3 linked regions of the Pelodiscus sinensis genome follow. The protein of the gene in region 1 interacts with the protein of each later gene in a pairwise test. Links are inferred from orthologs where the notes say so. Each region holds a gene or a part of one and is shown on either strand. Other genes may lie near its edges. The genes, in order: MYBPC3, TRIM63 and ACTC1.

The links.
Region 2: the proteins of MYBPC3 (region 1) and TRIM63 interact in a two-hybrid assay, tested with the Homo sapiens proteins (2 studies listed by BioGRID and IntAct). The link is inferred for Pelodiscus sinensis from reciprocal best matches to the Homo sapiens genes MYBPC3 and TRIM63.
Region 3: the proteins of MYBPC3 (region 1) and ACTC1 interact in a two-hybrid assay, tested with the Homo sapiens proteins (2 studies listed by IntAct). The link is inferred for Pelodiscus sinensis from reciprocal best matches to the Homo sapiens genes MYBPC3 and ACTC1.

What each region holds. Positions count from the first base shown.
Region 1 is NC_134714.1:74,657,845-74,665,509, forward strand, and holds the start of MYBPC3 (myosin-binding protein C, cardiac-type), read left to right. Parts: upstream 1-4,609; 5' UTR 4,610-5,133; coding exon 5,134-5,182; intron 5,183-7,665. UniProt on the Homo sapiens protein: Thick filament-associated protein located in the crossbridge region of vertebrate striated muscle a bands. In vitro it binds MHC, F-actin and native thin filaments, and modifies the activity of actin-activated myosin ATPase.
Region 2 is NC_134735.1:1,664,482-1,672,007, reverse strand, and holds the start of TRIM63 (E3 ubiquitin-protein ligase TRIM63), read left to right. Parts: upstream 1-4,456; 5' UTR 4,457-4,616; coding exon 4,617-4,775; intron 4,776-6,654; coding exon 6,655-6,821; intron 6,822-7,526. UniProt on the Homo sapiens protein: E3 ubiquitin ligase. Mediates the ubiquitination and subsequent proteasomal degradation of CKM, GMEB1 and HIBADH.
Region 3 is NC_134714.1:55,501,249-55,509,319, forward strand, and holds the start of ACTC1 (actin, alpha cardiac muscle 1), read right to left. Parts: upstream 3,070-8,071; 5' UTR 2,918-3,069; intron 2,089-2,917; 5' UTR 2,069-2,088; coding exon 1,940-2,068; intron 635-1,939; coding exon 310-634; intron 1-309. UniProt on the Homo sapiens protein: Actins are highly conserved proteins that are involved in various types of cell motility and are ubiquitously expressed in all eukaryotic cells.

The sequences.
Region 1 (7,665 bases):
CCACAAGACTCTTCGCCACTTTTGCCTCTACTGCAGGATAGAACATTCTTCCTACAGCGGGACTTTGCTCTTGGGGACCTGCTGATGCCAACTTGCATCATGGGGGATGCGGCCTACCCACTGATGCCGTGGCTCATGAAGCCCTACACTGGCCACCTGGCCCTCACCAGGGAACAATTTAACACACACCTGAACCGAGCCTGCATACAGGTGGAATGCACGTTTGGGCGCCTCAAGCGCCGGTTCATATCCTGCTGACCCGCCTCGACATGGGGGAACGCAACATCCCCAAGGCGGTCTCTGCATGTTGCATGCTCCACAACCTGGTGGAGAGCAAAGGGGAGGCCTTCCTCCTGGGGTGGGGGACACCGGTTGGTGGCAAGGGAAGGCAGTTTGAACAGCCCTGGAAAGCTGCCATACGCCAGGTCTATCAGCTGGGGGGGGGGGGGGGTGTGTATCCGGGAGGCCCTGAAGGAGAGGTTCTCTTAAGGAGCCCAGTAACTCTCCTCAGGGCCTCCCCAATGGAGGCTTGTGCATTGCCCTCCAATACCATTCCCAATACAACCCCTTCCTTCCCCCATTCCCTGCACAATCAATAAAGACACCATTTTTTATTTAAAAATAAACTTTGTTTCAACTTGTAGAAAATGTAAGTAACTGGAATGGAGGGGGACTCAGAACCAAGAGCAGGGAGAGGAAAGGGGGCTCAGAACCTGGAGGGGGGCTGGGAACTATGGGTATGTCTAGACTACATGGCTCTGTCTCCAGAGCCATATAGATTAGTTTACTAGACATACCCAAATGGAGTGGCGATTTAAATAATCGCCGCTTCATTTAAATTAAAATGGCTGCCGCGCTGAGCTGATCAGCTGTTTGTCGGCTCAGCGCGCTAGTCTTGATGCTCCGCGGTCGACATCAAAGGCATTTGTCGACCGCCCCGGTAAATCTCATCCCATGAGGCATAACGGAGCAGTCGACAAATGCCTTTGATGTCGACCATGGAGTGTCCAGACTAGCGCGCTGAGCCAACAAACAGGTGATCGGCTCAGCGCAGCAGCCATTTTAATTTAAATGACCATTTGGGTATGTCTAGTAAACTAATGTATATGGCTTTGGCGACAGAGCCATGTAGTCTAGACATACCCTAGGAGGGGAGCTCAGGGCTGGGAGTGGCACATGGAGCACCTGCCACTGCCGCCTCGGGTCTGGGGACCTCGACAGACTATGGGTTAGGTGGGTTCTGCAACAACAGGGGCCTGGGCAGGAGGGGGGGCTGCTTCAGGGATGGTGGGGGGGCAGGAACGGAGGGGACAGGGGGAGCAGCAATGGAGACAGGACCCGGGTAGGCAATAACTCCCGAATCATGGCACACATGTTATCTCCCTGCTGCACCAGCTCTCCTCACATGCGCTCACGCCACTCAGCCTCCCTACAAGATTTCTGGGCGAGGGTTTGCTGAAGTTTGCAAATGCCCGCTATGTGCTGGCGCATGAGGTTGTAATGAAGCCGCCAGTGCCTTCGGGTCCCATGGCTTCGGCTGGCCAGCTGGACTGGTATGGCTCACTCCTCATCATCGGCTGGTCCGGCTGTGGAGGACAAGAGGGAGAGGAGGTCAGTCATCCCTGAACACGCTGGCTCTGAGGGCGTGCCCTCCTCCGTGAGCAGTGAGCACCTGTCCTTGGTACAGGGGACGCTGATGTCCTGAGAGCAAGGCCACGTGTGGCCTGCCCAGGAGCCCTGGCCTCACAGGGGCCCCGAGGTGCCCAGTGGACCATTCTGCCTGTTCTCCCCGTCCTATGGACAAACAGGCCAGAGAAGTGTCTGGCCACAGGGGATTCCCAGGTGCAAGAGAGTGGCCTGGAGCAGCTTGCACGCACACACACACATACACACACACACACCACTGCACCTGGCAGCGCTGTCTGCGGGAGCGGGTGGTGCCTCACGTATGCACACATGGCCGTGTGGTATGTGCTACACTTGTTGGTCTGTGTGTGGTTGTGAGTATGCCCTTGTGCCCAGCCTGCTTCCAGCAGTGCCTGGTGGGGAGAAGACGTCCCTCCCAGGGGTTGGATGTGTGTGGGGACTCCCCCCAGGCTGTGAGCAGCAGCCCATGTGTGCTTCAGGACTGGCTCCTGAGACCATGTGTCACACACTGCCGCTGCACATACTTGCACGGCCAGCTGCACCCTGCCCAGGCCGAGCATGACAAGTGATGATCATGCCTCATCCCCTGTGCACCTGCCTCCCCCACGCTGTGTGTGTGCCAACCTCACCGCACTCACCTGATGTTCCCTCCCCACCATCAGATGATGCCTGAGACCTGGGGGACTGGCTGCAGGCTGAGGGTGACAACACTGCCAGTGTCCTCCTCCTCCTCCTGCAGCTCGTGGTTGTTGTTGTCCTCCTCTGCCTGGAGCTCTGGCCAGGTGACAATGGGTGTCTCCATCTCAGACTCCACGGGGATGCATGGTGACAGGGCTTCTCACTCCCCAGGATCTGATTAAGCTCCCGTTAGTAGGGGCACGATTGTGGGGCTGCCTTGGAGTGGGAGTTGGCCTCATGGGCCCGCACATAGTCCTGCCGCAGCTCCTTGACCTTTGCCCAGACTTGATCAAGGTTGCAATGGTGGTGACCTCTGTGGGCCAGAGCTTCGGCCATCTGGCTATAAGTGTCGGCGTTTCAGCGCTGCAACCGAACTCCAGGAGGTCCTGGATCTTAGCCCCCGACCACGATGAGGCCCAGCGTTTGGTGCCCCTGGAGGGTCCTGGGACCCTTGGGGAGGTTCCCTGGAAGGGTCAGCGGGACGTCAGGGGCCTTGTGGCTCAGCCATGGCTGCTGGCTGGTGTGGCAGGTAAAGTCACAAAGTCAGACTGCTGCCCTGAGGCCAGCTTCCTGCCACAATGCCTTCCCCGGGTGCCTGCAGCTTTAAGTCCTGGCTGGACACAGGAACTATAGAGCTGTGATTAGTGTAGACAGATTGTCCACCAGGGCACCTGTGCTTTGTCCTGGAGGCCTCTTTTTTTTTAAATAACTGACTCTCCTGCATCCACACACACCTTTTTTTGAAAGAGCTCTTTTAAAAATAGGGGTTCTTCCTTGTAAAATGAAGTTTACGAATGTTGACAAAACTCCTGCGTTCTTTTGATTTAATTTCGAAAGAATGTGATTGCAGGTAAAGTTTTTTTGAAAAAAGGCCAGTTTTTTCAAAAAAACAATGTAGTCTAGACATTCCCTCAGACAGCTTCAAGCAGCAGCCACACAAAGCAACTACTGACCTGATGCTCTGCCTGAACTGGTTCTGGGTGGCCTTAAATGCGATTTAGCATCTAATCAGTGTGGACACACTATTTTGAAATAGCTAAGAGCTATTTCGACATAAGCTATTCCAGAAAATCTGTTCTGGACTAGCTTATTCCAAAATAATGCCGCTGTATAGACATAGGCCTGCAGATAAAGCTACTGCTGCTCATTGGGGTGAATTAACTATCTTGACAGGATAGCTCTCTCCCATCTGCACAGAAGGCTACATGAGAGATCTTGCAGCAGTGCAACTGCATTGGTGCCAGGGCTTCCCTCACCCCAAGGATCTGATTGAGATCCCAGTACTAGGGGCACAATTGTGGGGCTGCCCTGAGGCTGGAGTTGGCCTCACAGGCTGTGCTGCTATAAACTCTCTATTGTAGACACTATTGTATTGTTACGTCCACTATTGTATTTTGTCTTAATTTAGATGTGAGGTCTTTTGAATAGAGACTGTTATTTTATTATGTATCTTATAGTGCTACACAATCAGTTACACCCAGATCTCAACTGTAGCTTCTAGACCCACGGTATCTAACATGGTAGCCACTAGCCATATGTGACTATTTGGCCAATTGAGTGTGGCTAGTTTGACAGTTTCAGAATTGGTTGGACACCACAGTTCTAGATACTACTGCATAGCAAATAATAAACTAGTAACAACTCTGTACAGATATAAGTTACTTCACAGTGCAAAGTACTAACCATCTTTAATGGGTTTCATAAAAAACAAACTAACCAAACAAAATGCTCCTATTTTAGGAGAATGTTAAGATTTCAAAGTAGGAAATGTCATGGTTAAGATACCACATGAACCTTTATTCTGCTCCCATTTCCTCATGCGCATATATTACAAAAGTCTAGTTACATGATCACAAGCTACCAAGTAATTTTTCTATTATCTGAAATACATGAGGTACCTTACCGAACAGCCCATGACTGTTGTGCAAGAGACATAGTATATATTCACAGGTTATAATATGCACCTTGCATGATTGTAGGGAAAACACTATAGGTGGACAGTGTAACAAAATGGCTGAAAGACAGATTATATACCATTATTCAGGATTGCAAATCAGATCAAAAGCTTGGGTTAAAGAGTCTGGTTCTTATTCAAGTATATTCAACGGTGACATAAGCTGTCAAACATGAGGATAAGGAAGACATGGACAAATAAGAAACTGGTTTTTGAGAGCTTGATCTAGAGAGGTGCTGGGCACCCTCATGATCCATTTAAGTTTGTGGAACACAAGAGTACTCAACACCTGCAGGATTGAGTCTTTAAAGTTATATTCCAAATTAGTCAATGTTGTCTATAGTAACAGTCCCACTTGGGGAAGTGAAGAGATTGATGTCATCACTCCACAATGGTAATTCCCTGGAAACAGACAGGAAGAAACAGCTGCTTTACAAAACGCACAAAGAGATTTTTTTCCAAGAATGTAACTTTTTCCAGTGTTCTGATTTAGGAACACGATAAATAGATTTACTGATGCTAGAAATCTGAGAATTACAGCTAGACAAGAATTTCAGAACTTTTTCTTTTGATTTTCTAAAAAATCATGAAGTTTCTCTTTAAATCGATGCACTTCAAAATCACTCTGTTTGCAATTAGTTGAGCATTTATATGCTCAGATGGTATCATGTTATAACAGAAATTATAAAATCATCCTAGGGGAAGCCTGTTATAATTTTAGAAGCAATTTAGCAATCTGCTTTCTACATCACTTAACATAATCACCATTAAACTCCATCTGCCTCAGTGTGGTAGACTTTATAGACTGGTACATCTATTGGTTCTGAGACAGCTCTCAATGGACAACTGGAACAATGCCTACCAATGATAGTTTTCAGGATTTCTTCAGTGCTGATTTTGAAGGTGAGAGCTTCTTCCTTGGTCATGACATTTCTTTTTGGCATTGAGGGTGACTCAGCTCCAAGAATAGCCTAGGAGCAAGATATTTGTCTCTCTCCTGACTTTAAGGAAAAATAGAGAATGCCTCATGAAGAAAAGAGTTATGTCCTTATCCCAAACACAGCTGGCAAAGCAAAACTGTCCTAAAATAGCCTCACAGTTGCTGATAACTGAGGCTGGTGGACAAGTATCATTTCCTCTTACAGGGAAACTGTGATTATTCAAAGAGAGCAAATCTGTGATAAACTGTGTGTGTGAATGGCTGGAAGATCTTAAATCAGGTATTTCCAGCTCACCAGGGAGTTCTGTCAGATAAAAGAGTTCTCATTAGCTTTCGTGTTTCTTCAAGAGGTAGCAGAGAGAGAAAATAACAAACACTGAAATTTAACAAATTCAAATTTAAGATGGAAAAATCTCTGATCAGCAATTTGAGATCTGACAGCCAGGACTCTGAAGGAAGGAAGGCTAGAGTGTTTCCTTAAAAATATAAAAATATAATCTTTGAGCAATTTGATCTCTAATATAAAGCTTCACTGCCTACCATTGTTTTGAAGTCATGCAATATGAAGCTAAACTCTCTGGGAAAAATGTCATGGGGAAGAGGAAATATTTATTGCTAAATATTTTTTGCAAATCATTTTGAATACTCTTTTAGCAAGTAGTTTAAAATAATGATGTTAATTTCCAAGCCAAGATCTTTTTATTTTCTTTAAGTTGATATTTTGAAATATTTTTAGAAACATTGTTAAATCCCCATCTGTGTCTGGTAAGATTTGTCATCTGTGGCATAGGGGTTTGAATAATCATGTGCCCAGCTGTGAAGGGAACCAAAAGAACTGTATTCTCTGTAGTAGTATATTTCATCCAGCTGAACTGTTTTAAGTAACTGTCTGATGAAGGTGAATTGCCCCCAACCCATCACACACTCAAACAGGAGCTGTTCTATAATTTTAGAGAAAGATTGAGCAAATGTGAGAGTCTTACTAGCTTCCAGGAGACTAAGATGAAGTAGAAAACAGTGACATTCTCATCTTCCTTGGAGTTTGGCCCAGTCACATGGATGGAATTTACTCTGGACCCTAATCAGCAAAGTGAAATTATGATTAGTAATATCTTGCAGAAATATGTTACAGCCACTGCTGATTAAGATAATCATTAATACCTCTCTGAGCTTACTAGGCTGCTGATGTACTTGTAGAGCTAATTCCCTCTGTTCTTCCTCTCATTTCATACACTATTAAAAAGTTCATCTATGGTCTACCTATGATTGGGAAGGCCTTTCCAAAAGGACCACTCTTTTCAGTACAGGAAGTCTCCAACTTATGAATGAATTATGTTCCAAAAGTTTGTCTGGAAGTCAGTTGTTTGGAACACAGAACACATTTTTCCATCGTGACAATGTTATAAATAAGGGCTGCTCAACATGTGGCCTGTGATGCAGTTTGGGTTTACACAGGGCTCAACATGGGGCCCGCGGGTGAGATCCCTTGAACATGGCCTCCACTGGGAACATGCTCCACAGCACTGAGGCATCTCCCAGGCGGGGTGAGCACTCAAAAATGCAAGTGGATGGGCTGGATGGAACAGTTGGGTACAGGGTATCGGTGTTTCTAGCCCCTAAGGAGAAGGTGCCGGGAATGCTGGGCATTGTGTGAAAGAAGCTATTTGCATATACTGGCTTATATATTTGCGTGTATATGCAACCACATTTAAGTTGTGGCCCTCAGCATGTGCTTGAGTATCATTGTGGCCTCCGGGGCTTCCAAAGTTGAGTTGCCCTGTTATAAATGGTAGTTAGGTTCCCAGGCTAACCCACAAAAGCCCACTTAACCCATAAGGTAGCTGAAATACTGTATATTTGCAATGAAAAATAGCAGACATTGTTTTTTATTTAACTTTAAAGGCTGGTGCATGAAGAAAGGCAGGTTTAATTAGATGATGAGGAGGAGTTAGGTGGAGATTCTGAAGGGGACTTCTGGGAATCCCCCAGCTGTCATTTCTCCCCTCCCACGCCCAGCTGGCTCTGTGCCAGCTCCTGAGGCCAGCCCCTGGCCACCCTCCCCCATTCACCAGTAGGTGGTGAGCGGTGAGAATGTGGGACGGAGCACTCCGGAGAAGCAGAAGGTGGCTGTGCAGCTGGTGGCTGGAGAGAAGCAGCAGTTTCCTCTTCAAAGTGCCACTTCTCTTCAGCTGTTGACTGTGTGACTGCCCCCTGCTCCTGGGAAGTCCTCCTGGCAGCACTTGCACTGCTCGCCACCACCTGTGCCTCTTGCTTGCTCCCCAGAGGCCAGGGCCATCCTTACCTTAAATAAAATACACTCAACCAGTGAAAGAGCCAATCAAGTTGTAATGAAGCCATTTAACAGGAATTTGCCAACCTCAGGAATATACTGTCAGTTTCTGATTTTACTCTGTTAGTCTACAGAATCTGAGTTTAAAATTGCTTT
Region 2 (7,526 bases), on another chromosome or scaffold:
CCTGTATTCCAAAGCCATGGCCCTGAGTGCCAAAGCCGTGGCCCTGTATTCCAAAGCCGTGGCCCTGAGTGCTGAAGCCGTGACCCTGTATTCCAAAGCCGTGGCCCTGAGTGCTGAAGCCGTGGCCCTGTATTCCAAAGCCATGGCCCTGTATTCCAAAGCTGTGGCTCTGCGTGCTGAAGCTGTGACCCTGTATTCCAAAGCCGTGGCCCTGAGTGCTGAAGCTGTGGCCCTGTATTCCAAAGCTGTGGCCCTGAGTGCTGAAGCTGTGGCCCTGTATTCCAAAGCCGTGGCCCTGTATTCCAAAGCCGTGGCCCTGTATTCCAAAGCTGTGGCCCTGTATTCCAAAGCCGTGGCCCTGTGTGCTGAAGCCGTGACCCTGTATTCCAAAGCTGTGACCCTGTATTCCAAAGCCGTGGCCCTGCGTGCTGAAGCCGTGGCCCTGTATTCCAAAGCCGTGGCCCTGCATGCTGAAGCCGTGGCCCGCAGCCACAGGGATTTATTCTTGCAGCTCCGTGCAGGGCCCTGCAGCAGGAGCTAACGACTGGCTGGGTTCCCGGCAGTGCCGGCCAGCACACGGCTCGCCATGACAGCCAGCAGGGCCACTGCACCAGCGAGAGGCGTCCCGGTGCTGACTGTGCCCTGGCGTGGCTGGGCTGCTAGCCCTGCGGCTCCAGGCCAGTGTTTCTCCAGCAGGCTCCCTGGGGGGCCGTGAGCAGGTTCCAGGGGGGCTTCCACAGCTGGCCACCGTCCCGCGGAGCAGACACGCGCGTCGGGTCCCATTCCAGCAGCGCTGGGCCACGTGGGGAGTGCGCGAGGAGGCAGGTACCTGGGCAGTGAGCCAGCAGGAGCAGGCGGTTTTCTACCTGCCCGTGGCTATTCCTGGCCCACGAGCCGCCAGTCCCAATTCCAGCTGGTCTGTTTTGACCGTGGGGCCCCTGCCCCGGGGACGTTTGGATTCCTGGGGCTGGGGGCCCCCGGCAGCTGGCCTGGCTTGTTCTCCCGGCGGGGGGAGCAGACCGGATGGTTTTCACTCCCGAGCGGGAGTGAATCACCTGCCGCGCACGAGCCCTTCTGCTAAGGAGCTGGGGACAGGCCCAGCCGCCCGCCTGCCCTTGTCAGGGGTTCCTGGGAGTCCCTGAGCGGCACGGGCAGAGCTGCCGCTATTTACCCAGAGGGCGCGGACGGCGGCGCTACCCAGGCACCTTGCGGATGCCGGGACGAGAGAGCGGCTGACACCCTGTACGCACACCCCCGGGTGTCGAAAATAGGACCCTAGGCCTGCCGAGGGGAGTGACGGCGCGTCGGGGTCCCCCCTGAGCCTGCACCCCCGCAGCAGCAAGAACAGACTCTGCAGCCAGTAGAACAGGGGGGTTTCTTGCTTCTCCGGGGTACAGCCCAGCACAGACGGGATGTGGCTACAGGAGTCAGGGCCAGGCTGCCTCAGCCCCCTCGGGTTAGGGGGTCCATCGCCCCCCAACCCTCTGCACCCAGCTTAGTCTGTTCCCTTCCCAGGAACTGCCTCCCTCCCAGCCCTGCCCCCCAGCCCGGTGACTGTCTCCGCCTCCCTCCCGTTGTCTCTCCCCCTGGGAAGAGCCCTGTTACCTGCCCAGGCTGGGACTAGGTGTCTGGGCCAATCCACGTGTGGGTGAGTCCGTGGGAATCGCACAGCGCAAGGGGACCCCGGGTTGCAGAGCAGACACCCCCCCACTACGTCACAAGGTTGCGTCTGTTCTGTACACCGAGAGAACCTGACTGAGGACTGCGTGAGCATGCTCGTAGGGGTGGCCGTTGATCCGGGGGTACCGCACTGGGGAGCCGGGAGAGCTCGGAGGAGCTGTACGGCTGCCGTTAATAGGGGTTCCCATCAGGTTCCTTCGAATGGTTCCCATGCGCGTGCGGGATGGACTCTGTTAGGTGTGTCAATGTGGAGGTGATGTGTGAGCGTCTCCTGCTCCGAGGAGTCCCGGGGCACCGGAAAGGTTCTGGGCCCCAAGCGTGGGATGGACCCGTCGGTCTGGCAGGGCTACCTGCGCCTGCCCGGAGGGGAGCGATCCGTTACTTTGCGGAGGGCCCGTGCTAACGAGGCCCGGTCCCCCAGCTGATGAGAAGGCGGGGACGCCGAAGCAGCCCCTCCCGGTCCGACGGGGAGAGTTCGCGAGCGACTCCCACGCGGCGCTTTCGCGCTGGGGTCTGGCTGGGGGGTCGTTTTGCTGATGTCTGGCTTCTTCCAACGCTGTTACTGAGCATCCAGGGAGCCCGAAGCCTCCTGCAGTTTGCATGTGACCCAGCCTGGTGCCTGGCTTGTGCCCGTTCCGGCTGCTGCGTGGAGAATGGCGGGTGTGGCCGGCATGCCAGGTGGGGAAGGCAGCCTGGCCCCGCCCACACTCCGCAGGCCTACCTGCTGCGGGGGCCACATGCTGCCTGAGGGGGGAGGCAATTTGGCTCCCGTGGGGGCGGGGCCTGGGCAGAAGGGGCGGGGCTAGGGGCAGGCTGGGGACTTTCCTCGGCCCGCCCTACGCTCACCCACTGCCCATGCCGAGGGGCATTGCTGGCCCGCGGGGCGGACGGCCTGCTCGTGGCTGTGCAGGCGGCCGAGCCCCCGATGGCCTGGCTGCTTGGCTGGGCCTGGGACGGGGTCACCGCCATAGCGGGGCACATAACAAAATCCATGTGTCGGGGGTGGGGCCGAGTGGTTTGGAGGGCGGCAGGGCTCTGGCTGGGGCCGGGGTGAAGGGTGTGGGGGTCAGGCTGCCCTAGGGCGGCAGCTGCAGGGAGAGAGTGGACTCCCCCAGGCCTCTTTCCCTGCAGCAGCCCCTGGGCGTGGGGGAGAGGCCCTCCCTGAGCACGCGCCTGGCCCGGCAGCTCCTGTGCTGCACAACGGGGATGAGCCCTGGGCGGGGACGTGTCGCATTGACCGCAGGGGGAAGGGCCGGCCAGGTTCACGGGCACGAGGAGGGTTAAACCCTGGGGGGTGGTGGAGGGTCCCTCACTGGACACGCGCCTGCCCGGGATGCTCAGACGGTGCCTGGCCCTGCCGAGAGGCTCGAGGTCCCTTCCCATCCTACGACTCTGGGGTTCGATGATTTTAACACAATGGAGGATCCCCGAGTCCCAGGCCTGGGAGGTGCCCTCGGGCGGCTCCCCACCCCTGGCACTGGGGGTGTCTGGTGCTACCTGCAGGACCCATGGCCGGGCTGGGGGCTGTGACGGTCTGAGGAGCAGCCAGCAGAGTCTGGGGGAGTTGTGGGGCTTGGGTGGAAATCTGTGATGCCCAGCAGGGACCTCGGGCCGAGGCTGAACAGGGCGGGTGCTGGAGCAACCAATCCCAGCTGCATGGACAATACGGTGGGGGCTAATTTAGCTCCAACCACTCGAGAGATCTTGGAGTCCCAGTGGGTCGTTCTCTGAAAACATCCCCGCAGTGCAGCAGCCGTCACAAAGGCAAACGGGACGTTAGGAGTCATTAGCAAAGGGACAGAGCGTAAGACAGAGAATATCTCGTTGCCTCTATAAAACCATGGTGCACCCACAGCTTGAATACCGTGTACAGACGCGGTCGCCTCATCTCAAAAAAGATCTCTTGGCATTGGAAAGGGGTCAGGAAAGGGCAGCAAAAGTGATCAGGGGTTTGGAACGGGTCCCATCTGAAGAGAGATTAAAAAGTCGGGGACTTTTCTGCTTACAAAAGAGGAGACTAAGGGGGGATAGGACAGAGGTCTATAAAATCATGACGGGTGTGGAAAAAGTGAATAAGGAAAAGTTATTGACTTTTTCCCACAATATAAGAACTAGGGGTCACCACATGAAATTAGCAGGCAGCAGGTTTAAAACAAACAAAAGGAAGGTTTTCGTCACTCAGTGCACAGTCAACCCGTGGAACTCCTCGCCAGAGGATGTGGTGAAGACTAGGACTTTAACAGGGTTCAGAAAAGAGCTAGCTAGATTCCTGGAAGTTAGGTCCATCAATGGCTGTTCGCCAGGCTGGGCAGGGATGGTGTCGCCAGCCTCTGTTTGTCTGGACATGGGTGACGGGAGGGATCACATGAGGATTCCCTGTTGTGTTCCCTCCCTCTGGGGGATCTGGCACTGGCCGCTGTGGGCAGACAGGCCACTGGGCTGGATGGGCCTTTGCTCTGACCCCGCCTGGCCGCTCTGATGTTCTTAAGGGGGTCACTTAACCCTTTGCGATAGGGACGCGGAGGCCGGGTGGGGGTCACAAGGGGGATGACTCTGTTTACAGCTGCGTCTCCAGTGTCTTTGTTTGGAAAGACACTGCAAAATCCCAGGAACTGTGGCTGGGCCAGCCCCGGACAGGCCGTCCCCTGCCCTGTTTACAGCCCGCTCCCCCCAGGGGCACCGATTGCTCATTCTCCCATGTGACAGGCAGGCCGCTGGAAACTCGAGCCCCTCTCCAGCACATGTGACTCTGCCCTAAATTATAAATAGGCAGGGAGAGGGGCAAAGGCAGGAGCCCAGGCTGAGCCGCAGGGAAGGAGCCAGAAGCTTGAGCTCAGAACTTGGTGCAGCTGAAGAAGGCAGGCGGAGCCGGGAGAGTTCCCTGAGGAGCTGTCGACACCGGCGTTGGGATATACCTGGGGAGGCCGCCCAGCGCCATGGATTACCAGCCCAGCATCATCCGAGACCCCAGCCCCATGGAGAACCTGGAGAAGCAGCTGATCTGCCCCATCTGCCTGGAGATGTTCAACAAGCCCGTGGTCATCCTGCCCTGCCAGCACAACCTGTGTCGGAAGTGCGCCAGCGACGTCTTCCAGGTGAGTGCCTGGCCCGTGGCTGGGCCACTTCCTGTGCCTGGCTGCAGGCGGGGGGGAGGCTGCCGTGAGCTCCCGGGGACCGAACCGGAGGCTGCTCGCGGGGTGGCTGAGGGCTGGAAGGGCCAGGCTTCCCTGGGCGCTCCCCTGTCAGGAGCCGGGCAGGGCGGGGTAGACTCCGGGCTTGTGTAACCCAGAGGCCACTGACAAGGAAAGTTCGCTCCAGGCCGCAGCTGGGAGCTGGTGGGTTTTCAGATCATGCCATAGAGTGTTGTGGCTTTAGCCCCGAAGGTCGCAGGTTCAATCCCGCCTGTCGGCTTTCCAAGATTCTGGCTCCAAGTGCTCTAGCTTGTGCCCTTCCAGGCTGTGCTTGTCTGTCAGAGCGGAGGGGGCAGCGTCTCGCTCTGCGTTTATCTAGGACGCTGGTGAAAAAATCCCCGTGACTTCAACGGCCTGGGAATGAGCCGGCTTGGCACCTGGTTCTAGAAAGGACCCATCCCCCTGGTCTCCTCTCTTGGCTGAGCCGGGCTAGGAGCCAGCTGATAAACCCGATGGCTGGGCCCCCTCTCGCTGAGCTGTGCTGCTCACGTCCAGCGTTCCCAGCAATAGAGGAAGGAGGAGAAGACCAGGCAGGAAGGGAGCGATGGGACCCGCTGCAGGGCCGGCTGCAGGCTGTGCCGGCGGGGGTGTAATTGACCGTGGGTTCCTGGCACTTCCCCCATGTGCAGACCCCCTTGACTCCTGGCAATGGGCAGAATGTCGAGGTCCCTGCAGCTCAGATTCCTCCCTGGGAATTTTGCCAAAAAGTCGGCTTCTCCATCCCCCCGCCCCGTGTGCTTGGCCACTTCTCATAGGATCACGGAGCCCTGGGGCGGGCGGAGCCCTCAGGAGGCACCGAGTCCAGCCCCCTGCCCAAAGCAGGACCCATCCCAATGAAATCTCCCCATCGCCAAGAATGGAGACGCCAGCCCCTCCCTAGGGAACCCAGCCCAGCGTCCCCCACCCGCCTGGGGAAGTCGCTTTTCCTAATCTCCCCCCTAGACCCCCCCGGCAGTGCAGGGTCAATGCTGCAGGCGCCCGCTGGGCAAGAGGGAAATTCTAACTGGGCGACGTTTCTTGGCTGCCCCAGAAGTGGTGGAGCGGTGGGGCCGTGGGCCCTGGGCCAGGCCCTGGAGGTCTGGTCCCTTCCGAGCCCGTTGTACACTCCCGGAGCCCGCGCGCTCGGAGGCGTTTCTAACCCGTGAACGACGGACGCCTCTCAGCACCCCCATGCCCTGTGCCCAGCTCAGGAGCAGGAGGGGGTGGCTGCGGCAGGGGGCTGCGACTCAGGACTCCTGGCTCCATTCCCAGATCTGCCCCTTGGCCACATTGCCTCAGGGGTTTTGCTTTGCCTCGGGCGCCCAGCTGTGCCCGGGAGACATTTGCCTCCTTCCTGGGGTTTTGTGAGCCGTAATTCCTCGCTCACCGGGTGCAAAGCATTATGGGATCTGCGCCCCGCGGGCGATGGGCGGGGCTGGGATGCAGGCTCTGTCCCTGGGGGATGCCGAGGGGCGGGGTTCACACGAGTCCACGTGACTGTCTCGACTGCGCAGTGGTGAGCGTTAGGCGTGGGCGGCGGGTACTGTAGGCAAGGGAAGGCGTCGCCGTCTGCCGCCACCCCACAGCTGCTGGGGAAAGGTGGGGCCATGGCGCAGCAGCCCCAGCCCTCCAGGTGGCCAGGAAGGATGGAGCTGGGGGTGGGCGGGGCTCGGCTCCACAGGGGTGTGGGGAAGGGGCGGGGCTGGGACTTGCCTTCCCCAGCTGGGCCTCCACCCGTCCATAGTTTTGGGCCTGTGGCAGGTGACTGGGGTGACCTTTGCCCTTGTGCTGCCGGCACTCACAGGCGGCGAATCCGTACTGGCAGAGCCGGGGAACCACCCTCTCTGGGGGGCGCTTCCGGTGCCCCTCCTGCCGCCACGAGGTGATCCTGGACCGGCACGGCGTCTACGGGCTGCAGCGGAACCTGCTGGTGGAGAACATCATCGACATCTACAAGCAGGAGTGCTCCAGGTGAGCCCCGCGCCCGCCCGCGCCAGCAGCCCCGCCAGTTCCCGGGTGCGGACAACAGGCAGGCAGGGGAATAGGAGGCAGGGAGTGTTCACACAGCAGCAGGTGCAGATCTGGATTCCGAGGTCTGAAAGGAGTTAACCGATGAATTTCCTGAATCGCTGGCATGGAGGCAGAGACAGGTGCTCTATGGGGCAAATATGGTACCAGGCTTTGAAAGGGGGGGGCCGGGGAGGTCTGCAGAATCAGCAAATACCATCTCCCAAGTGGAGTTCCGAAGGCGCGATAAGAGCAGCAGCTGGTCTACACGGTTCCACTCTCACGTGCCTAGAATCAGTAACATGTCCCATCCCCCTCCCCAGCCTGTTGCAAACGGGGAACTGACCCTGGGCTCATGGGTTAATGGTCACAGTTACCTGCAGTCTCCCGGTGCATGGAGAGCTGGGTTAAAAGCCAGCTCCGGGGTGCACCGGCTCCCAGGGAGTCCACTTTTGCCCCACCTGTAACCATGTGACCACTGACATATTTTATTGGTTGCACGGTTCCTTCGTTCCACACATTTTAACTTCCCGACTGATAAAAACAAACTGTGCCCAGAGCAGCACGGCCGCGGCTTTGAGAGTCATGTTGCAGGGAGGAGGGAGCGAACACAGTAGCTGTTCCCAAGGTTCCCTCTAATCTTTTCCATCCAAGTGCAGATTTTTTCTA
Region 3 (8,071 bases), about 19 Mb from region 1:
TCCTATGGAAGTAAATAAATATTATCCTCATTTTAAAAGGAAAATAGAGCGGTTAAGTGACTTGCCCAAGGTCACAGAAGAAATATGTGGCAGAACAATGAACTGAACCATGGTTACAGAGTCTTATGTTAGTATTCTTTTGTACATTCAGCAGACTGTTTTGATGATTTTTTTTTACAAGTGCCATGTTTGAAAGACATCTATCTTTGTGTGACTGTGAATGTGTTAGAGACTGCTCACAGTTTTCTATTTTCTTTTGGAGTTGAGGGGTTGAAAGGAAACATTCCTATAGCAATCAGTTATTTTTACCTGTGGTACGACCAGAGGCATATAGGGACAAGACAGCCTGGATTGCCACGTACATGGCTGGCACATTGAAGGTCTCAAACATTATCTGGGTCATCTTTTCACGGTTAGCTTTAGGGTTTAGAGGAGCCTCTGTAAGCAAAGTAGGGTGTTCCTCAGGGGCCACACGCAGTTCATTGTAGAATGTGTGGTGCCAGATCTTTTCCATATCATCCCAGTTGGTGATGATGCCATGTTCAATAGGATATTTCAGTGTCAGGATACCTCTCTTGCTCTGAGCCTCATCACCTACATAGGAATCCTTCTGACCCATGCCAACCATAACTCCCTAAAGGAGGAAAATATAAAGAAACTTTGTCTGGGTGGGAAATACCATCATTAAGCACAGATTTAATTGTACCCAAGAGATTAATATTTTATTTGGGACAAAGGAGAGAGAAATGAAGAGCTATGCCAAAATGTGTTTAAATACAGAAAGTAACAGTTACTTTGAATATTAATTAAGTCAACACATGGCTGAATCCTTTAAAAAAAAAATCCTACTTCATTTAATCAAAGTGACAACCAACAAAAAAAAGACTCATCCAGCTCATTCCCAAATATCTAAGGCTAAGTTGGAAAGTAATCTGCACAATATCATAAATATGAATAGCTGGATGAGAGAACATTTTTATAGCTATCCCCATTACAGTGAAATGTATCTACCAATGTAGTCAATCATTCATAAACTAGGAAGCAAATACAACCGTGGCATTCTGGACTTCATGCCAAATAGTATATTATAAATAAAAGAGAGGAGGGGCTTATCTCATGTAGTAAACAAAAAAAATGAATTACGTATTAGTGTTTTTATCACTGAGCCCATAATATCAAATGTCAATTCTGAGCTTTTATTTATTTTTTGCATGTAATTTATAGCTCCTTTGCGGGAAGGGGGCACAGTTTACTAAAAGTCTTCTATATACTGATTTAATGTTCATAATATGGAGAGATAAGGGGATGAAAGGAGGAAAAGTAGCATTATAAGGAGATAAGAGGAAGGGGAAAGGATCTGGGGGGTAAATAGAAAATGAGTAAGGAGTTCCAGGGTAACAGAAGAAATAGATAAAGGGATTCAAGGGGAAGGGCAGTGGTGTGAAGGGTTAGATGATGAGCTATGTGAGGAGGCAAAGGTCTAAGGACAGATCCTGGCTCAGGTGTTGTAAATTCAATGAATGGAGCTAGATGGATTTCCACCTGCTGGAGCTCTGGTCCACGCGGGAGGGAAATTAGGAGAAACTAGACAGCTGAGAGAGAGGAGCTAAGGTTAAAGAGATAAGGCTGTGAAGAATGAAACCGAGGCCCAGTGGGGAGAGGGAGGCGATGACAGATACGATCTGAGAGGCTAGGATGTGAAGACTGGGGAGGAGAAAGTTCAGGAGGGCAAAGATGCGGGGTTTGAGGCGTGCGGCGCCGGAGGAGTGCAAGGAGATGGGAAGGTCAGAGGGGGGAAGCGGGGTCTGAAGGAGCACAAGGGGGTAAGAGAAGCAGAGCTGCGAGGCGCCGCAGGAGGAGGTGGCTGGGGACGAGCACGGGGGAGCGCAGCGCACGCGGCTGCGCATCCTGCCCCCTGGGCGAGTCGCGGGGCAGTTACCTGGTGCCGGGGGCGGCCGACGATGGACGGGAAGACGGCTCTGGGGGCATCGTCTCCGGCGAAGCCGGCCTTGACCAGCCCGGAGCCGTTGTCGCACACGAGCGCGGTGGTCTCCTCGTCGTCACACATGCTGGGCGGCGGGCAGGGATCTGCAAGACAGCCCAGCCGCGTGTCCAGAGCCCGCAGGCAGCAGCGCGCCCTTCCCGGCCACGTTACACCCCCCCCCCCCCACACACACACACCCACACACACCGCGGGGGCAACTTTCTCTACCCCGCGGGGTCTCGCCTGAGCAGCTCCCTCCCGCGCAGTGAGAACTATCAGACAATAATCCCCCTCCCTCCCTGTCTGATCACCACACACAGGGGGCCGTTCTTGGCAGACCTTTCCCTCCAGTTGTTCCTCATTATGACTGATCCCTCAGAGCGACTGCCTGCAGTGACCGTAGATCTGGCAGGGGAAGTTGCTACATAGCGCAAACGCTTCTCCAAGCCTTTGGGGAGGGTCTGGGCAACTAACCCCCCCTCCCACCCCTTCAAGTTCTTCAAACGCCCTACAACTTCTTCTGCTAAGCATCATTAGAACGACTTGAAAGCGATGTCTCTCAAAAGATCTCTTTGTTTGAAGGACAAGCACACTTTTGAGAGCTGGGGTGGAGGGGGATCTCACACACAACACGTTGTGGTGTCTTATAATTCCCCAGGCCGCCAAGATGTGCCGACCACTCTTGTTTTAAAAGCAGTGGATGTAATGAGGAATGAATGAATGAAAAGCTTCTAGGCTTCAGTCCCTCCTTCCCAGCCCTCACCCCAAACCCGACACAAAATTAGCCCTTGCGCAAAGCAGCTCCTCCAAGGTGGTCGCTAGAAATCCAGGCAGCGTCTTCTCTTTTCAGCCCGCTCTTCTAATTGCCCCAAAGATGCCTTCTACAGCTGTGCTAGGAACTTGGCTGATGGGCTGCTCAGCGGTATTACTCACCAGATCAGCACCTACTGCGTGGCGTTCCTGAGAAAAAAGGCTGGGTAGTGACTCAGAGGCAGATACACCAATTTATACTTCCTGAGGGCAGCGGCAGTCCCAGGCTCCTGAGGGACAAGCTAGCCACCTTTTCCTTATTTGGTAGGCTTCACTCCATTGAGTAGCAGAGAAGCCATTAATGGAGTAAGGGAAGGCAAAAGTCAGAGTAGGCTACAGGGCCCAACAGGCCATGTAAGGAAAGCAAGGGGGTGACATTCTAACAGCAAATGGGATGGCCAAATAGGGAGATCCTGTGAACAAATCATGCATACTTGTTCTGGAGGCCAATATTTTTAAAAAGATGAATGAAAGAAGTGTTCCATCTTGCTGTTTTAAATAACCAGAAAGCTGAGAAAGATCAATGAATTAAGCTCTAGTTGCCATAGTGTCTGGCATGTGTGACTGCAGCTTGGGAAATAAGTAACTGGGACAAGTGATGGGTGACATTTAAAGGAGATAATAGTTGGACCATTAATATCAAAATGCATTTGTTTGGGGATGGTTGCGCCCTTACTTTTATATTGAAACTGATAATATCCCCACTATTGAAAAGACAGCAGGTGAGCAGGCCGATGTGTGAGGCTGTCATTGGTAGCTACAATCTCAGGTTTTGCTCTTGGGAAAAAGGCAGAAGACAACATTTGCTCCCTGCATTGCTTCAGCAAGAAGCAATGCACATTTTAATTGTCTCTAAACTTTGGTTAATACACATAGGAAAAAAATTGTGCCCTCCTTTGCTTTTGGTAGGCAATGGGCAGTGAAAGCAGTATCTGTTGGCTTACAATACCGCATATATAAACTCCCCATTTTTGTACTTTTAGTGCATACTGAATCAGTAATGCATAGTGATGTGTGAGGGAGGGAGGGAGAGATGGAAACAGCTTGAACAAAAGCAGCCATGGTATTAATGTAATGTGGCAGTTGTTTTCCTGCTCTGTTGCTGAAACATCCACATTGATAATTTGTTCCAGCAGTGAAACCTAGAAGATCCATATATCTTAAAGGGGTTTTTTTTCGGTTAAAAATAGAAAGACTGGAGAGGCATCCCTTGAGTGGGTTTGGCCTGGTATGTGAAGGCACAGATTGTCAACGAGTTTCCTAAAGGAACTTTATTATACTGCAGAGTAGTGTCCTTCGGGAGCTCAGCTTGTAAACTACCCAGACATGTTAATGTCTGCCTACGCTGCTCACTCTTGGGAAGTAAAATCTGAGCCCAAGGGAAAGGGGCGGAGGGCAAGAGAAGTAGCAGCAGCTCAGCCAGATCAGTCACTCAAATACAAATCTTGTGCATGAAACATATTAGATGCTGATAAGGATCACTTCTATCAAACACCCATGTATATCTTAAAAGATGTGGGAGGAAAGAATCTTTGAGTGTAATTTGTAGTCTGCTGCAGCTTTTCTGTGCTGTCTTTGCACCGAGAAATGGCCTCAACAAAAAGTGTGAGTGGAAATTACAGAGGATCCATACTATTCATTTCTATATTGTACTTCAAGGAGGTGGCAGAGACTCTTGCACTTTAAATTTCTCCTGTAGAGATAATAGATGCAACAAATATTGTGTAATAGCGTAAGTAGTTAATCAGAAGTTTAGCTCTGGCTAACCTACTTGTACCAGCCCCTCCCCAGCTCATCTTGGGGTTGTGCCCATTTATGAACATTTTTTTTTAAGATATTGCAACAATCATCTTAGCCGCAGTTGGCTGCTGCTTTATTCTAAAACCTTTGAAAAGACCCACATTGTTTCAGGTGAGACACAATGACAATTTAAAAAAAAATACTTAAAACTAGCCCAGATATATATGAAAGGATGGTTCAAAGCTATAAATTACAATGACAGAAAGAGGTCATTGAAGTGGAGGGCTAGGCTTCACATACTTCTGCTTTAGGAATCAGAGAGAAAGACAAACTTCACATGCATTAAATTTATTGGAATTTGGTGTAAAAATTAATCAAATATTGGCATGACAAGGCACACAAAGTGAGTATAGACAAATACTTTACATAATTATAAATATTTAAATATGTTTATATATTTATCCATCAGTGTATATATGATATATATAGGCTATAGTGTGCGGAAAGGGTGTGGTTTCAAATTAGTAATGTGTTTAATACTTCATTTTCCATTTTTATTACATTTCTGATTCAATGGCAGCTTCCCACATGTAATGTCTAGTTGTTCTTGTCCAGTTTTTCCTTCTTCCTAAAGTTCATTTTTTCTGCAGAAACTGAATAATGCTGGAGATTGGCCTTTTTCACCAGCAGTAAAGATTAGCCTACAGTGTTATCTCAGCTGTCCTTCCATTCAGAGGTGTTACAGTATTTACATAGAAGTCTGTTACTGATAGCCACTTTGAATTCCTCCAATCTCAGACCCTCCCTGTCACATCCTATGTTCCATTTGGCTGGAGAAAGAATGAGTGTGTCTGAAAACTGAGACAAATAAAGACAGCACTTGTGTGCAAGACTTACCAGGGACAGTTGGTCCTACGCCGGACCTTTCCTGTGCATTTCATTTTTAAACATATATCTGCTTTCACTCCTACTTGCTCAAATTATAGTTTTCTAATTAAAACACAATAGGACTTGAAACTAGAATACTGATGTCCTTGAAAGCTAAAAAAAAAAAATCTTTCTCCTTACTGTACATGACAAGGTCAAAGGAAAAGGGAACCATGCAGTGTATTGAATCCAAACTGGCATCTGTTTCCTCATAACCATTTCAAAAGTACCCAGATAAATTCATTTCTTTGGCCAAAATCATCCTTCTGTCTGCCAAAAATTTAAAGTGACATTACAACAGCAAATAAATCAACAAACAGCAGCAAAACCCAACATCATCTGGGGTTGAGGGGAAGTCCAGAGATTGAAATCATTAGTCTCTTTACCTGTAGGATGCATTTCTTATGAACCACCCACAGCCCACACAGTATATTAGAGGTAAAAGAAAAGCAAACAGAAGGGATTAGTAGATAGTGGAAGGAGCTGCAATAGTGATAGTTCTTCACATATCTAACTAAAAATGGGTTTGTCCTTCAGAAATATTAAGACTGTAGTTTTTAAGAAATGTTAATGGGGAAGCACACGTCTTTTCATTAGCAAAGTTGTGACATATATGCAGAAAGGCAGCCACTTCATTTCTAAAATCACAGCATCTTAGAGCTGCTTTGTGGAGCAAGTCTGCTTTCTTGATGCAACATTCAAACCAACTGGAAGCAATCAGTATGCAAACAGTGGATTATTAGCTCTTCCATGCTAAAAAAACAAGATTATAAAGTGGTGATAGTTCAGATGCCTAGAATCTCCTAGTCACTTTAGTATTTTAGGTGAAGGAAAGATCAACAGGAAAATACAGCCCTAATTCTGCAAGCACTTTCCACCAAGTATAGTGTTTATTGCCCTTTGGAATTCAATGCGATTATTTACAACAGTAAACACTGCATCTAATAAAAGATTTTGTTGGCACAGGCCACCCTTTGTACATATATTTTGCTGACTATCAGCTTATTCTTTAGATTACATATAGATGTTATAGATCATAGGTGCCAATGAATCCTTCCTATCACACTAAACTGCTAAGGTAACGTGCAATATTTCACAGAAGTTCTGTTATAGAACTGTTTTTTTGGAAGTTTTAAACATGTTATTGGTACAATTGTTGCATCCTTTCCCCTGTAAAATCACTAGTCTTAGTTATAGTGAAACCCACTGTGCAGACCTCTGTGGGGGAGAAAAATTATAACTAATATATTTTAGAAACAAACAAAAATATATTTAATACCTGTTACATATGAAATATCGCCATGATTTTAAAGTCTAATATCTTGTAATCTACTGGGGTTTGGAACAAAAGCTTCATCCCACCTCAGTGCTATAAAGTAGGGGTGGGGAACCTTTTTTGGGTAGAAAGCTACTGAACCTCAGGCAAGTAGATTTTGTGTGCTCTAGCCCTATGGTGGGATAGTAGGGGGGCTGGAGTGCCAGCACAGGCTCTCCAGTGCTGGAGAGGGGGAGCCCTGAGCCTTGGGGGGATGGATCCAGGCAAGCCAGGGCTGCTAGTTTCCCACCCCTGCCATAAAGCATCTGTATCTATTCCCTTCCCCCAAAGGGAATCTTGTACTTTCAAATATGTCTGTGGATCAGAGTTGAATATTGCCCTTCTGGAGCCTCAGGCCGGAGAAATTTTCATGAGAAATTCTACATTTTCAAGGAAAAATCTCAGATTTTATTTTGTTCCATAGCAGCTATTTGAAAGTTCCGTACGGTTTTGGAAGAAGTTATCCCAGCAGATCTTGAATGGTGGGCAGAGCGCAGGCAAGAATACTAAAAGCACATGACAAATTTATCAGATGACTAGCATCTCCACATATGTGGGATATATGCCTACTCACTCTAATCATAGAAGCTAGAACTGAAAAAGAGAATTAGATCATTCCTGCCAATGCAGAATTGTTCCTTATGATACGTTTTCTAATATTTTGTCCAATCTAATTTTGAAAGAATCAAGTGACTGAGTTTTTTCTTTCCCCATGAAACATTATCCCACTATTTAATAACTACATTGCCACACAGTTTCATCTGATATTCACTCCCTCGCCATTTCTTAGTTTCATTCTATTTGTCCTAGTTATAGCCCCATGTATCATTCTAAATACATTCTGTCTCCTTCACATTTAAACCCTTCACATAGTTGCAGGCTGTTATGTCTCCCTCTTTCACTCATAAAGGGCTGTGTGTCTATAATTAAACTTGTGTGTCTTAAGAGTGTACTGAAATGAGGGAAGAGCGAGATGGGCAATAGGAGACTAGAGATGCATCCAAAGCATGTTTGTTATGAAGCTGAGAGAAGCAGGGTCAAAAATATAGATGGATGTGAGAAATAATATAAGTACTGGATCACTAGCCCTTACGAACTATTTGCAATATGCCATCTACTATATATTCAAGTGAGTCTGCCTGTCTGTTCTAGAATGCCTCCCAAATGTTAAGAGCTAGGACCACCAAATTTGGTATGCAGCTTCCTCTGATAACTTAAAGCAAGGTCAGGGTTTGGTTGTGTGAGGAATGGGATGTGCCTGGAATTGGGATTTATTCTCATAAAACCATACAGAA